Arabidopsis thaliana: one gene and its partners. The protein of the gene in region 3 interacts with the protein of the main gene of each other region in a pairwise test. Each region holds a gene or a part of one and is shown on either strand. Other genes may lie near its edges.

Region 1 (5,274 bases), on a different chromosome or scaffold from region 3:
TCTCTCTTATTCGTGGAATCTAATTATTCCCTTTCAAAAATTAGAATAGCTAAAAAAAGGAAGAAACAAAAGCTCCTTTTCTCCATAATTAAATCACCTTTCTCCTTCTCTGAATCAATGAAGACAATACTTACATTATAGATCCCTACATTCTTCTCTAACGAATAACTTAACATCTATCTTTCATACATAACATCTATTCTTCTCTGAATCAATGTTTATACTCTTTGGAGGGAACGGAACACTCGTCTGCACACTTCTTCTTCGAGACCTGCTGCTGGACTGATTATGGAGATAAAGAATCTTATTCGCACTCATCTTGATCCTCTCTCACGAGCTCAACGTATTGGCCCCAATGGTTTATCGTACCTCGCCACTTGGTTCGGTCTCTTTATTTGATCATATGCTTTGTTTTACTTTTCTTTGTTGTTTTGTAGGTGTTACTCGTTTTGGAGGCGGTGTGTATTCGATTTCGTTTTATAAATGAAGGTAATGTTAAAAAAAAAAAAAAAAAAAAAAAAAAAAAACATCTATCTTTCATACATAACTATTATAACCCCCCAAAAAAACCTATAGATATATGTTTGGAATTAATTTGGTCGTGTGAAAAAATACATGTCAAATCTCAATAGCTCTTATATATCTATGCATGGTTCTTCAATTACACATTATTTTTTAGTTCTATGAATAAGAAGTATAAATGGACAACACGTTTCACTTGTCCATTAACTTATCTCCTCTTCGTTTAAAAATGCGGTGATTCTTATCAGCAATCAACGTATATATTATAAGTTAAAAAAGATACGTACGTTACCCGACATCTAATATACGATTTTCCGTCTATATATCTATCTAAAAGTCCCACCAAATGTAGGAGTCCAGAAATCTACTGTAGTATCGTGTGTCACTGGAAATGTGCTTGAAACTGGCACTAAGCATAAACCTCGACTTCTAAGATCTGGTTCTTCTGATACTTCTAGCTCTGTGGAATGATCACTCTGCATCATCATTAGAAAACAAAGAAAAAATATAAGTTGCAAATGATTTCTTTTTTCGTTGCAAAAACCGTCTCGCTACATTGTTTCTTGGAATAATGCTTTATTGTCCAATCTTAAAGATGAAGCAACCATATTAAATACATGTAATAAAGAATGCGAACGAGAGCCATACGTTTATTCAATGGTATAATAATAATAACAGTATGATAATGGTTTAATAATGTATACATAAAATTATATAATTAAAATATTACCTGTTGATGTTGTAAAGAAGCTCCACTTTTCATGTATGGGTTGCTCAGAGCCTGAGTTATAATCATTTGCAGGTTTGTTGTACATCAGTAGAAGAAATACAATAACTAACTAAACTGTAGCAGAAAATGTTTGTGTACTAAAAATACGAAGGAGTGGGCTAACTTACAGAAACTTGTTGGTGTAAGAACTTAATGTATTCAATGGCTTCAGAGAGCACTGAGGCTGCATCAGTCTGACACAAAAGCACATGAGATTCAGTAAAACAAAATCTAAGAAATGGTATATCATTCATTCATCTCCAACATAAATATCTATTGAAATAGACCTTACATATAAAATAAATCCATAAAGATATAATAACAATAACATGATAAGTAATAATGACAGTATACAAATATACTAATACACACTCATCATCTTTCTGAAAGGTAAAGCAAAAATTTGCAGACAATGAGAGAGAGAGAGATAGTACCTTTCCGAAAGGTGAAACCAATTGTTGGAGCGCAGCGATTCTGTCCCCCATTTTCTCTTTCCTCTAATTCAGCAAAATTTTATCAAAACAAATCCTTGTTATAAAAAAAATACTATGAAGTAAAAAAACTAAAGAGATCTAGTATAAGCAATTATGCAAGAATTGTGGGAAGAATGTTTGTTTTCTTGATATAAAATAAAACAACTTCGCAATAAAAGAATGTTTCATAATATCCTATCATGCATATACTTTGGTGGTAAATGATAAACCTAATTTTATTGTTCAAATTAGGGTTTCGGTTTTGTTTAATAGAAAGATTCGGATTGTTTTGGCAAAACCATGGAAAGCTGGTTTTATTTCAATGTCGTTAAAGATGCTTTTATTTTCATACCAAAAAGAAGCTTTATTGTTTATTTTCCCCTTATTTAAAAAATAATATCAACAAAGCAAAATACCTTGAAAGCTGGTGACGGAGACGCTGCTTCGCTCTTAGCTCTTTTCGCCGCCGGCTGATGATCGTTTCCTCCTCTCTTTACTTCGTTGCTACTTGAATCTCTAATCTCCGATATATTCTACGACCAACCAATACATATAAATTATATAGATCATATCCATAAATCTAAATAAAGTAGTTCGTGTAGCTATAAATATATACCTTTGGTTGTTCGTCAAAACTCTGCGGATGAATCTGCGGCGGTTGTAACGCCGGGAAAAAGTTAGAAGACGCGTCATGAGGAGGAGGAGCACCGGCGTTTCCCGCAGCCGCGGGGTTCCAAAACGTTGCGTTATTAGAGAATCTCAAAGGACTGTGTGGTTTTGGCGGCGGAGAAGATCTTAAAAACCAAGTCGATGGTAACGCTGACGCCATTTGATCATAGTTTCCGGTGGATGATCCAAACTGAGAATAGCCAAGAGATGACTGTTGATGATTCCTCGACGGTTGTTGATCAGAAGAGCCAAAACCACCTGCTTGCTGATGATGAAACATACCGGAAGATGAATTAGGAGTTGTTGTTGTTGCTGCGTACATGGCGTTTGACGAGTTGTCAACAGCGAAACCTTGACATGTTACTGTGCTACTGTCGGTACTTGAGCTACCATGAGGACTGAACTGATGATCTAAGAAAAACCCGCGATTACCACCACTCGTTAAAATCTGCGGTTTGAAATCGCTTTGTGGATCTCGCCACAAAGCTTGATGATGGTGAGAGGAATCAGATTCTTGCAGCTGGTAAGAAGATGTGGATGACGTTGTGTTAGCGTTTGCGTTTGAAGTGGCATCTAAATTGAGATTCTCTTGAAGCATCACACCAAAGCTTGTCTCCGCTTTACTATCTCCTCGTCTTTTGTTCCCCGCAAAGAAAAAGAAAACAAAGACAAAACACATAAATCTTATGACTGAAACCAAATAAAAAAAAAGAAACAAAATTGAGACTTACAAGAGAGATTGGTTCCATTGATCAACAGGTGATTGTGAAGAAAGTCCTAAACCAATCATCTGAAGATGGTGATCAGTAGCTAAAGAATGATGATGAAGCTTATCATGGAAAACAGCAGAACCACCAGATTCAATAGAGCTTGCTCTCATGGAAGAAGAAGAAGATGGTGAAGAAGAAGAAGATACTTTCCACCAGCTTCCTGAGTTGATGAAATCATGATGATCTCCCATAGCTTCTTTTTTTCTCACTATATATATATATATATATATATGTGTGTGTGTATTGATGTTGGATCTTAATTTGTTGTGTCTTCTCAGATTGTGGTTACATGAAATGATGAGGATCCACACGAGAGAGATACTTATAGTTATAAATATTTATCAATTTAAATTGGATATTTTTTCCTGGTAGGGTTTTCGTGAACTATTTATGAAGAGTGAAGACATCCGATTAATGTTTGGTTGACATTTTTTCAGGTGGCTCTCGCTGACTCTCTTGCCCACGTCATTCCCAACTTCTGTTTTTGTTTTACTAAAGATATTGTTGATTTTTCCATTGGTTACAACTAAAAAGAATAAGTATTTCATTTCTCCTACTTTCCTTTATATTTTGGTAAAGTTTCCTTTTATTCATTTTGCAAGCATATATTATATCACTCTTTATAATTTAATTTATTTTTTGGTCACCCTACTCGCAATGATACAATAACAACATTTTGTAAAATATATTTTGTATTAACATCCTTCAATTTAGTGAATGTAAATGTAACAACCTTTTAATTCATTAACTAGTAATGATTGATACTTGATAGGAAAACAAAATAAATCTAGATTTAAGTATTTCACATTGAGAAGTAAAACACTAGCTAATGAGGAAATACAAATTGACTTTGTAGATAGATTTTTGGGATAAAAAAGGAGGTTGAAATGGATTTGACTTATTTTAAGCAAGAGAGACCAAGGATGGACTAGAAGGAGCGGGTCACAGTCACGGTCACAGTCATAGTCACAAACCACTGAGATATTTTTAAAATAATTCTATTCATTTTAATATTTTGGCCTTTGAGTTTGGCTATGAAACTTCAGCGTTTATTTTTTTCCAGTCACAGCAAGTCAACGAGTGGGCTCCACGTGGCGTGCGCGCGTGCTTTCACACTTGGACCCCACTTGTTTCGTCTCAGAGTCAGAGCCTGAATATGACTCTTCTCTTTTCTTTTCTTTTTAAAAAATCTTTTTGTTTTTCTTTTCGGCATCTTTTATTCTTAATGTTAATTACGGTAATTTTCTCTCTTAACTTTTTAGAAGATTAATTGTATATAATTTGTGTTTTATTCACTGGTCGTCTCCCTAATCATTTTCTTTTGCCTAACGTTTGTCTCTTCTCATTTTCCAATTCTCAACGAGCTCGACCAAAAAAAAAGAAGTCATATATATTGATATTGAATTTTGCTGTTAATATTCGCATTAGTGTTTGTAATTTCTATATAGTCAAACAATATATCACATACGTACTTTCTTCTCTTACAACCGCAAATTTTTTTTTTTTACAGTTTGCATGATCCTGTTTCTGTCTAAAACATTACATTCTTAATACATTGGAATCATTTTTTTTTTTTTTTTGTAATGTTAAATTCATTGAAGATACATTGGAATCATTTTGGAGTTACTGAATCCATCTTACCCGATTTATAAATAAAACCATTCGAATAATTGTTTACAAACCAAAATAATCGAAAATGTGGGTTTGGTGGTGTAATTTACCTTTTAGAATGGGGTGTTGAATATAATTTACAAAATACTTTTTTTGGAGTTGAATATAAGTTTACATTGATTCAAGAAAAATGAATGGGGGTGTTGATTGTTCATTTCTCTAAAATAACATTACAAGCGAAGTACTAACGATTACTTACTTATTAAAAGTTGATTGCCATTGGAGACACAATAGTTCCACGGCAACATTCCATTGAGTTGGTGATCTTATAATTTGAAGAAGAAGAAGAAGAATACCACCATTTTTTAACGTGCAACATTTACAAGAAAATGAAAGATTCCATTGCAAATTCACCCATGTAACTTGAGCTCGTGAGTAGTGACTATTTGAATTTACTGCT
Region 2 (4,747 bases), 1.0 Mb from region 3:
AGGTTGTAGCTGACCTCTTTGTTTCTTGATTTGCTTGTTTTGCAGAATCGACAACTGGAAACGCGAACATCTACTGCAGTATATGCGAGAGAAGGTCAAGCCTACTGCAGCAAGTTAGTTTTATCCCATGTAGAGCTGAAGAGGATGATCCTCCCTGTCACATTTACATATGCCAAAGCATTGCAATCTAGTAGTTAAAAACACATTATGACCGACTTATCTTATCTTTGTCCAAGCTATTTGGTCCCTTGGTATCAACAGTCTGTATGTTCTGAACCTTTGCAATTCTCAGTGGTAATGTATTTAATCCAATGTTCTTATGAAAGGATAATCTTAATTCTGTGGTCAGCAGTTTGGCACTATTACAAGCACTGAAAGAAAGCTATATGTATTAGGGAAATCCACGATCATACCTTCAGCACTGAAAGAAAGCTTGCCTTGGGTCTTTAGATCTAGAATAATGTATTGGATGCTGTAGGTAAGAATCACACAAAGAAAAGCTTAAGATATCTGAGGCATTTTTTGGGATAAAGATTACTTTGCATTAAAATCATTTGGTTCCTGTTTGGGCATATTACACAAGTCCAAAGTAAGGGGATGCATTAAGCAGTCGAATAATAATAACAATCATTGCCAACCATGAGCTGTTCTAAACCAACATCATGTGCTCTCTGTCTATATATGTTACAGAGGCATCATCAGAAAAATAACAATTGGTCATTCTTTTTTAGGCTTAACACAAAGATCGTAGTAGGTGATTAGTCGAATTGGTCATCTAAAGGGTGATTGAGATGTGACACTGAAAGCTGGTGATAGAGGAGTCTTCACGGGCGCCCATATATCAGCGCCGTTGCTTTGAGCAACTCCAACTGTATTCTCCATTGGAACAAGACATAATCCTCTGTTTCTCAGGCTGTACTGCTCCAGCTCCTCCTGGTTACAAAAGACGGGAAAATCAGTCCGTGCAAGGTATTCAAGTTCCAAGTGAAGATCTGTCAGATGCAGAGTAGAACTAGTGAACTAAGTATAAATGAAGTTGAGATTCAAGATCATACTCACCTGCGTAGCATCAGGTACCGTTTGCAGATACGGAGCACTTAGCACCTGTACAAAAGAACATGGGAACTCAGATAAAGATGAATGAATCATGCTTGGTATTGAACTGCAGACCTTCACTTGTTCGTGAAGAAACTCTATGTAATGCATCGCGTCTAGAAGAACTGATGCAGTGTCGGTCTGTGAACATTAGAGAAAAGTATGAGCTGAGAGACAGATTCTTTTGATTTGCTTGCCAAAAAAAACAAAGTTACCTTTCCATAAGGGGAAACTATTTGTTGAAGAGCTGAAATACGTTCTCCAACCTTGTCCTTCCTCTCCTGTTTGCCATTAAGAGAACAAAGATGGACGGATCATTACCATGCAATTTGTTGTACCGAAGACTATTTCGACCGAGAAATCCATGAAAACTAGCTAGGATAAGCAAAACCTTGGAACTGAAAGAGAGATCAGACTTGTGGCGTTTGATACTGCTTTCTCCGAGAGAGCAGACATTCCGCTTATTCTCCATCATCATTCCAGCGTCTCTAGAGAATTCCATACCTTTTGTCAATAAGAAATGCGCTAAAGAGTCATCAACACAACATGACCCAAAATTTATACTAACAAGACATGTTACATAGGGTACAAGGTTACCATCCTAGAGCAAATTACAGACCAGAAAGATTACAAGATCTATGAAATGATGATCTTGTTTTGGACCAACCAATGCATTGGGAGACAGGATTTGGAAGAGAAATTTAGAATATTAAGCCAAGACAAAGGTATGGTCAACGAAGTAGGCTAGGATTTGTGGTCAGAGGCTAGGCCTCAAGTTCACATCAGCTTAAGCATTATTTTAAGATTTCTAAGCACAATTATAAGCTCAAACAAAAAGATTAAATATGTTATCATACCTTGCTTAGATTATTTGCATAAACTCATAAACAGAGAATAACATCATATATGCATGAATCAATAGAGTCCCTAAAAACAGGAGAAAACCCCCCCAAAAAACAAAACACATATAGAGAATCCTCCACGGATCAGAGGAGAACAAAAAGTCACTCTCAGTGAATTATTGAAGTTAATGTAAACAAGAACTCAACTTCTTGCATTACAATAACAAAACTATGAGTAGAATCTGGTAACGATATCTATCAAAGTTGGTAACTTTTTCAGTCACGGGGATTGTCGTATAAACGAAATCAAAACCTAATCCAACTGAAGGTTAGCAACAAGAAGAGGAGAGATAAGTAATTATGCTTGAAATTAGCTTTTAGCAGACTAAATTTGGTGTAATTAAGCCAAAAATGGAGTAAAGAAACAGAGCAAATAAAGAAAGAACGAATAAAGAGAGAGAGAAAGAGCTTACGGAGAGAGAGATAGGTAGAGTCACAAATTGGAAGAAGAGTCTAAGAAAAAGCTTTATTGTTCAAGAAGCCACCACCCACAACTTCTGAAAGTTCCAAATTTTGCTTCGTTTGAACCCTAAAAATAATTGCTTTTTTTTTTGTCCTTGAGCTTCTTTCTGACAACACAAAACCCGATAAGATACAGAAATGTCTCTCTCTCTCTTTTGAGTTTTCTGAGTCCAAAAGGCAAAACTCCAAACCAGTATTTAGTATGTATAAACGTCAGTCTTTTTCCTTTGTTTTGCGCTTAAAACGACGTCCAAGATCGTGCTGTGTGACACGATGAAGAGCTCAAGCAGAGTGAAAATAAGCGTCGTTTCTTATAAGGTCGTAAGATTAGAGCAGTCGCAGAAATCTCGGCGTGAGAAAAGGAAAGAGACAGAGAGAGAGAGAGAAGAAACTGTGTCTGTTTTTGTTTATGCTCCAAACAAATAGAAGGGGACTTATTTTTATGTCTGTCTTTTTCGTCTAGACTCTTTTTGGGTGAAGTAATGTCATTTACTTCTCATTTAATTATTTTCAAATTTATTTATTGATTTGTATAAATCTAGAGTTTTCAATTTTATCGACTATCAATATTTTTTGATAATTTTTTCCTTACGAGTGTAAAGGTTATAACAAGCTACAAATTTATTCAAATGGTCAAAATCAGAGCCACTCATGCCTGAAAATTGTAATTTTGCACACAAATTCTTGACCTCACATTATGTTCAGAAAATCTCCAGATGTTTTATTTATGTGCTCCAAAGACTTCTATGATACATTTTTTTTTGACAACCAATTAGATGTAGATTAATAGATACATAAGTATTTCTTAGTTTAGATAGAAAAAAATGGAACCTTAAGTGACGTAGTTAGGACATTTTGGAAGCATGCATGTTCTGCATATATTGCCCCCACACCATCTACTACAACTCCTGCAAACTTTAATAATAAAGATGAAACAGATGACTAAAGAGTAAAGACTAATCCCTAATTAGGCTTTAGTGTTCAGAATCAGTCTTTTGTCTTGTGACTAAATACATCATAATTTGACAGCTATTATACAACCCATTGAGAGAGTGAGAGGTCTTCGTAGTTAATATCAGTCCCAGGTAGAAGTTGCTTTTATTATTATTATTATAGATAGATAGAGAGAACTATTTTTTCATTTATTGATGATAGTGACATTGTAAGGTTATTTTATTTTGTCAACATATTTGACCAGCTCTCTGCACCATCAGTCTTTTTGTTTCTACTTTCCACTTTTTGCTTTTTTCGTCTTTGAATTTTTGTTCTCTTCTCTTTAAAATCAACCAAAATTTCAACTAGAGAGGTTAAAAACATGGGCTGTATATAAAATCCATCAATCTAATCAAATCAGTGATTGAAAGTGATGTATTATTTTCATAAATTAACACCTACAATAATGAGATTCTCTAGCGTCTACCATTAATAATGAGATTTTAATTAGATTGAACGAGTTCATTTCATTAGTATATCCGTTGTTTAACTACAAGAGAATAAATGAAGTGTTATGAAAATGATAATTTACTACTGTAAATTTTTATGTTTCAAGTAAGACAAATTTAATTTTTCTGACGTCAATGCAACTTCATAGAGAGACTCAGGCGTTGAGGAGACGCGCACGCGTGGTTTCGGACACCAAACTCGCTCTAAAAGTCACTCACGTGGAGCGGTTAGAAGAGTCACGTTTCGAAACGCAGACGCAGAGGTAGAGATTGCGTGTGTAAAAAATAGAGATTTGTGGGGACAGCGGCACAGACCGTGCGACGCAAAAGTCCGAAAGGAATCAGCGTTTTATTTAAAAGGTACGTTTGGGGTCCTACGCGGCTTCGGTCTTTGTCTTGTTGTCACCATCTTCTTGTCCTCTTTTTTCCTTGTGGCTACCGGATTAGGTACTTTTTCTTTGTTTTTTCCTATTTATTATGGATTCTTTTCTATTCCATTACATTATTACTTTGGGCTTTTAGATATAGCATTAGCAACACAAACTTTAAAAAGCCTTTCAAAAATTTAAATATATAAACACTCCCAAGTTTTCAACATCTTTCTGTTTCCAACCCCTTGACTTATTCTACACCCTTTGCGTTGTGACATCAATAGTTCTTGTTACTCTCTTCTCTTTGAAGACACTCATTCAATCCTCTAACAATATGTGGCATGTTTGGCCTATCAGAGACGTTCTGCGAAACAGAGGATAATGCAAGCTCCACAACTTTCCATACAGAGTTTACATCAAAATCTTTCGCCATCTTTGAATCTATAACATTGTTCACATCATTCGTAGACCTCAA
Region 3 (5,069 bases):
GAATCTCGCTTTTGTTTAATCCGTTTTCCCTTTGTGAATTACAGGTAAACCCCCAGATGTTGCTAAATGGCGGGTAAAAGCTCTGGCTCTACTCTACTTAATATTCAGTTACATGGTTTCAATGGTTTGTTCAAGGTAGCTAGCTGCTTCTTTTTTTCAAATTTGGATGGCAGGTGGATTATAATGACCGACCCAACGCAGAGCTGATAATAAAGTCAAAGACAAACGCTGATCTACTGATCAGATCTATGAACATTTGAATCTACTTTCAAGGGGGCTATTGGACGAAACAGAATAAGATGAATAACAAAAGACAATGTTGCGCTTCAAGGGAAGATTGCCTTTGGTCTACAATGTCTTTTTCTTGCAACGGAAACTTCCAATAAGCAATTTGTTCGCAGTAAACTGTGTATGCTAGTGTTCTCTGCATACTCACGGATTTTGTTCAGACAATGTGTTTTATACTTCTAAATTAGAAGTTCTAATGCATAAAGTGTTTGAATGCGCGGGAAATTACCTAATTATAATCAGTCCAGCTCCCAACTATATCATTTTGAATAGTTAAATGGTCTATCCAAATTAGTGCAAGAAAAAAAAGAGAGGCAAAACCATAATATAATACCAACATTTGTTTTTTCTTCCTTTTTTACATAATTCAGAAACACGATCCCACACCTTCATTACTATTACTACAGCTAGCACTACCCTCAAAGCCCTTGGTCCTGAAAATCACACTAAAGTCTTTGAACAAAAAAGAGTTACTTTCATCAAAATGATAAATACTAGCCAAGCAAGCGAGAGCTTTTTCCTTCTTTTGACAGATCCCGTTTTACTTCTTTACTGCACAAATCCTACTTAGATTCCATCTCCAATGCCTTTTTACTTACCTTTCATGAGTCACAAAAGTCTAGTAGTGGGAAACAGAGCAAAATGTCAATCATCAGCTGGGGACCGTTGGATGAACAAAAATCTACGGTGGAGGATTCATCTCTGGTTTGACGATTGAAGAAGATGTGTCTGGTGGCTGAGAATGGTAAATCGCCATTGCCAATGAGATCGGCATTATGCAAAGAGCCTTTGATTGCAAAAGTTGCATCGCTGCTCCAACGTTTTCTTCCATCAGCTTAGCCACTTGCCTCTCTGTCCCATCGTTTGACCATTTCTCCCACACGGCCTGCGTCTCATCCTGAAGAAAGTTTTTACACCACAAGTCAGTGCAAGAAAAACCATTACCAAAGTTCTGTTCTTTTTTTAATGAAGTATCTCTCTCTAGTCTAACCTCAACTGATGAAGATAATGGCATTTCAGTGACTAGTGGTGCGACAGCACCGGCTCCACCAAGACGGCTCATGCTCAGGACCTGCCATAGTTGACCAGAGATAAAGCTTATGAAGGAAAAATATTATCAAAGCCCATCATTGCATAAAATATTCTTCAATGTTCTCATTAGCTTTATTACAATAGTCCTCAATTGTGATGATTCTCCATGGGAGGGAAGCAAGCAAAAAGTGAAAGACACTAATGCCAAAAAACACACAATCATGTACTCTTTGATTACTCTTTATTGCCAGATTAAACAATTATAATCTTTTATTAAGATTGGAAGTTTGGTTTAAGAGAGTAGGTGGTGGTGGGGACCAAGGATTTACACCACTAAATCCTTCTGGCTGTTTTAAATAATCTTTCTACAAACTTTTAATGATAGCATTTTCAAAAACCAGAGAATAGAAAACTGAAAATGACTTGGGTGTTTACCTTAACTTGGAGCCTGAGAAACTTTACATAATCGACAATCTCGTCGATCATAGCAGCCCTATCTGTCTGCAAAAGGAAAGCAAAAGAAACAGATGTGAATACCGCAGTTTCTATATGCCAATCACAAAACTTTTCTCTCATTGACAACTCTAGTTTTCTCCCTACTTTTAAAATCTCTTTCAAGCTCTCTTCGCGACATGAAAACAGTAGCTGAAGCTCTAGAGAAAAAGATACCAACCTTGTTAACGGTAGGTACAAGTTCCTGCAACGACCTGATCCGTTCTGCTATTCTTTCCCTTCGGAGCTGTTGCAAAGCAAATACATTCAGGTTAGGTCTTACCGTTCTTAGTAAGTAAGAACTAATCGAACTTTCTCAACCAAAAGCTATAATTAAAGCTTTGATCAAACATTATCACATAAAAATCGAAAAAAGAGACCAGAAGATAAAAAAAGTGTATCAAACATCTTACCCTCTCAGCGATGCTATGTGGATCGGTAGCTTGACCTCGCCTAGCCCTAACTCTAGGCCGAATAGTAGACTGTTGATGCGGCATTGGTGGAGCTGGCTGTGACATTGGCTGCCCATGGAAAATCTTCAACAAAACACAAAACAATGCCGTAATAACATTAAGAAAAGCTTAAAAACCGCTTCTCACAAGAACGGTCGCCACTAGAGTAGTTATAGCAACAATTCAAACTATGACGGAATTATCCACATGAGAAAAGAAACTAAAGAGCAAATTTTCTTACAATATAATTTGGACATAAAAGAACACTCTTTTATACTAAAGTTTCTTGCAAAACTAATTTTAGTGTTATGACTTTAAAACACATCAAAATCTTCAACTTGGGTTTCTTCAAAAACATCAAATCTCACCAATCTGAGCCAAAAACTCTCGGTAACTATCAAATTTAGACCTAAGCTGGGTTTTCTCAAAAACGACACCATTTTGAAACCCTAAAGATTTGAATTTCACTTTATTTTCTCGAGAACACAAAAGAAAAAGACAAAGTGAAGATTCTGAAGAGAAACTTACAGGTTTCATAGAGGAACATCGATTATCAAGAACATCGTCTTGGAAACGTTTACCAGTTTCATCAGGTTTAAGAAAGCCATGTCCTTTCCCTTGATCGAGACTTAATCCCAACGGAAACATCTGATTATGAAACCCTACAGGTCCACCTCCTCCAATGGCACCCATATGATTATGATTCCCTTCGTTGCCTGAACCAAGCTGAAGCATCATCGGAGGTGGACCCACGCCGCCGATTCCAGAGAGACCAGAACCTGAAGAACCGGAGAAGTTGGAAAGCCCGAGGATCTGCTCGAAGAAATCGTCGGTAGGAGATGGATCGGAGATGCTATCATGTGGGATGTTGTTGTTATTAGCCATGAAGGAAACGAGTAAAGGTTTGAAATTTTCGACTCAGTGGAGCTGGGTGAGTTAAAAGATAGCGAGTTAGAGAAGAGAAGTCGAAGAACAACTTTCCATGCGAAGAATCTTGTGTGGAGTTGTTAGGTGAGAGAATGATGATGCTTAAGCTAATGAGGACGAAGAGACACAGACGAGAAAGGATATGACAAAAAGACTCACTTTATGCTCTCTTTCATTTTATTTTTGTTAAAAGGACCTTACTTTGTGGTTTATTTTCGGTTTTGCCCTTGTTCTTATATACCTTCCAGAAACTTGAAGTGGGCTTTATTTGTTTTGAAGTGGGCTTTTTGTTTTGACTTTCTTCAATTTATTCATATCAAATTAAGAAAAAGGTCTTTTACCAAACTCTTTTTAGTAGAATGTTAAAAACCAATATAACTTTCTTTTTTTAAAATATATAAATGATATGGGAAAAATTCTACGCATTGTCGGGGTCGTCGTCATCTCGTTAGTGGTAGAAAATAAGATTTTTTTAAAAAAATCTGTCTTTGTCGTTTTTTCCGAAATTTAGCACTCATGGAGTAAAGTTTCTAATATCCAATATAAAAATGACACGTTTCATTTTGCCATATGGTATTACAACTTGCTTCTCCTTAGTGCTGAACCGTTGTCCGACTCGTTTTCCATTTTGAGAGACAAGGGTTTTTCTATTTTTCACAAAACAAAATTGTGGCATTTCTGAATATAATACGAGTAAAAAATATGTCAGCAGAAATGGGCTTGGATCGATTTTGATTTGTTGGATTCCATAATTCAATCTTGGGCTTCCAATCCATAAGAAAAAAGCTTGGTGTATTTTTTTTTACAAATTAGAAGAAAGTTTTTTCCTCTTTAATCAGTACTCTTCTCCTTACCCATTAATGGCAAATGCAAACTAAATTTCAGTTGACCCGTCAAACAATAAGTTAATTTTTTGCCACGTGGCCATATTTCTCACCGGACAAAGCCTCCAATAACCTCGGCGACTTTAGATGGTGAATAATCGACGAACAACAAAGAAACTACATTGACGAAACAAACAAACAAAAACATAGAAGAAGAAGAAGAAGAAACAAAACAAAACTAAACAAGAAACAGAGGAGAAAAAAGGAAACGACGAGGAAAAACAAAAACAAAATAAAAACAAGCCTCGTTCTTCCCTTTTCTCTCTTCAAATCTTTTCTTTTACATATTTTCTTTTCTTTTTTTTGTCTTTAATACAAATTTACTAACTAATCAGAATAAAAATGGGTTCGAGTAAGTTTAAACGAGCCATAGGAGCCGTAAAGGACCAAACCAGCGTCGGTCTAGCCAAAGTCAATGGTCGAAGCGCTTCTTTATCTGAACTTGACGTAGCCATCGTCAAAGCCACTCGTCACGAAGAGTTTCCAGCAGAAGAGAAATACATTAGAGAGATTCTTAGCCTAACTTCTTACTCACGCAGTTACATCAACGCTTGCGTTAGCACGCTTTCGAGACGCCTTAATAAAACCAAATGCTGGACCGTTGCCCTCAAAACCTTGATTTTGATCCAAAGGCTCTTAGGAGAAGGAGATCAAGCCTACGAGCAAGAGATCTTCTTCGCCACTCGCCGTGGAACAAGGCTTCTCAATATGTCTGATTTTAGGGATGTTTCGAGGTCTAATTCTTGGGACTACTCTGCGTTTGTCAGGACTTACGCATTGTACCTTGACGAAAGGCTTGATTTCAGGTAAGAGTTCTTGTGCTTGATCCAGGTTCCGATTCGGGATTTCAAGTTATTTATGTAATTTGAATGATATCTAAGATATGCGGTTTTTTTTTTTTTTTCATTGCAATTTTTGAGGATGCAAGCGAGACACGGGAAACGTGGAGTTTACTGCGTTGGAGGAGAAGCTGACGAAGAAGAACAGGATCAAG

Evidence for each region.
Region 1: the proteins of AT1G03040 (region 3) and AT3G20640 interact in binary tests that used the Arabidopsis thaliana proteins (3 or more experiments, as listed by UniProt).
Region 2: the proteins of AT1G03040 (region 3) and AT1G05710 interact in binary tests that used the Arabidopsis thaliana proteins (3 or more experiments, as listed by UniProt).

What each region holds. Positions count from the first base shown.
Region 1 is NC_003074.8:7,209,806-7,215,079, forward strand, and holds AT3G20640 (basic helix-loop-helix (bHLH) DNA-binding superfamily protein), read right to left. Parts: upstream 3,670-5,274; 5' UTR 3,395-3,669; coding exon 3,165-3,394; exon of another isoform or gene 3,113-3,164; coding exon of another isoform or gene 3,069-3,112; coding exon 2,381-3,068; intron 2,298-2,380; coding exon 2,181-2,297; intron 1,789-2,180; coding exon 1,726-1,788; intron 1,486-1,725; coding exon 1,420-1,485; coding exon of another isoform or gene 1,411-1,419; exon of another isoform or gene 1,304-1,410; coding exon 1,253-1,303; coding exon of another isoform or gene 1,241-1,252; exon of another isoform or gene 999-1,240; coding exon 849-998; 3' UTR 505-848; downstream 1-504.
Region 2 is NC_003070.9:1,713,048-1,717,794, reverse strand, and holds AT1G05710 (basic helix-loop-helix (bHLH) DNA-binding superfamily protein), read right to left. Parts: upstream 2,978-4,747; 5' UTR 2,411-2,977; exon of another isoform or gene 1,600-2,410; 5' UTR 1,598-1,599; coding exon 1,487-1,597; intron 1,377-1,486; coding exon 1,311-1,376; intron 1,237-1,310; coding exon 1,060-1,236; intron 934-1,059; coding exon 772-933; 3' UTR 505-771; downstream 1-504. Other genes in the region: AT1G05720 (selenoprotein family protein), read left to right, coding at 46-118; AT1G05700 (Leucine-rich repeat transmembrane protein kinase protein), read right to left, coding at 4,550-4,747.
Region 3 is NC_003070.9:703,309-708,377, forward strand, and holds AT1G03040 (basic helix-loop-helix (bHLH) DNA-binding superfamily protein), read right to left. Parts: upstream 3,357-5,069; 5' UTR 3,150-3,356; coding exon 2,793-3,149; intron 2,349-2,792; coding exon 2,226-2,348; intron 2,060-2,225; coding exon 1,994-2,059; intron 1,822-1,993; coding exon 1,756-1,821; intron 1,361-1,755; coding exon 971-1,360; 3' UTR 541-970; downstream 1-540. Other genes in the region: AT1G03030 (P-loop containing nucleoside triphosphate hydrolases superfamily protein), read left to right, coding at 45-73, 174-260; AT1G03050 (ENTH/ANTH/VHS superfamily protein), read left to right, coding at 4,418-4,881, 4,996-5,069.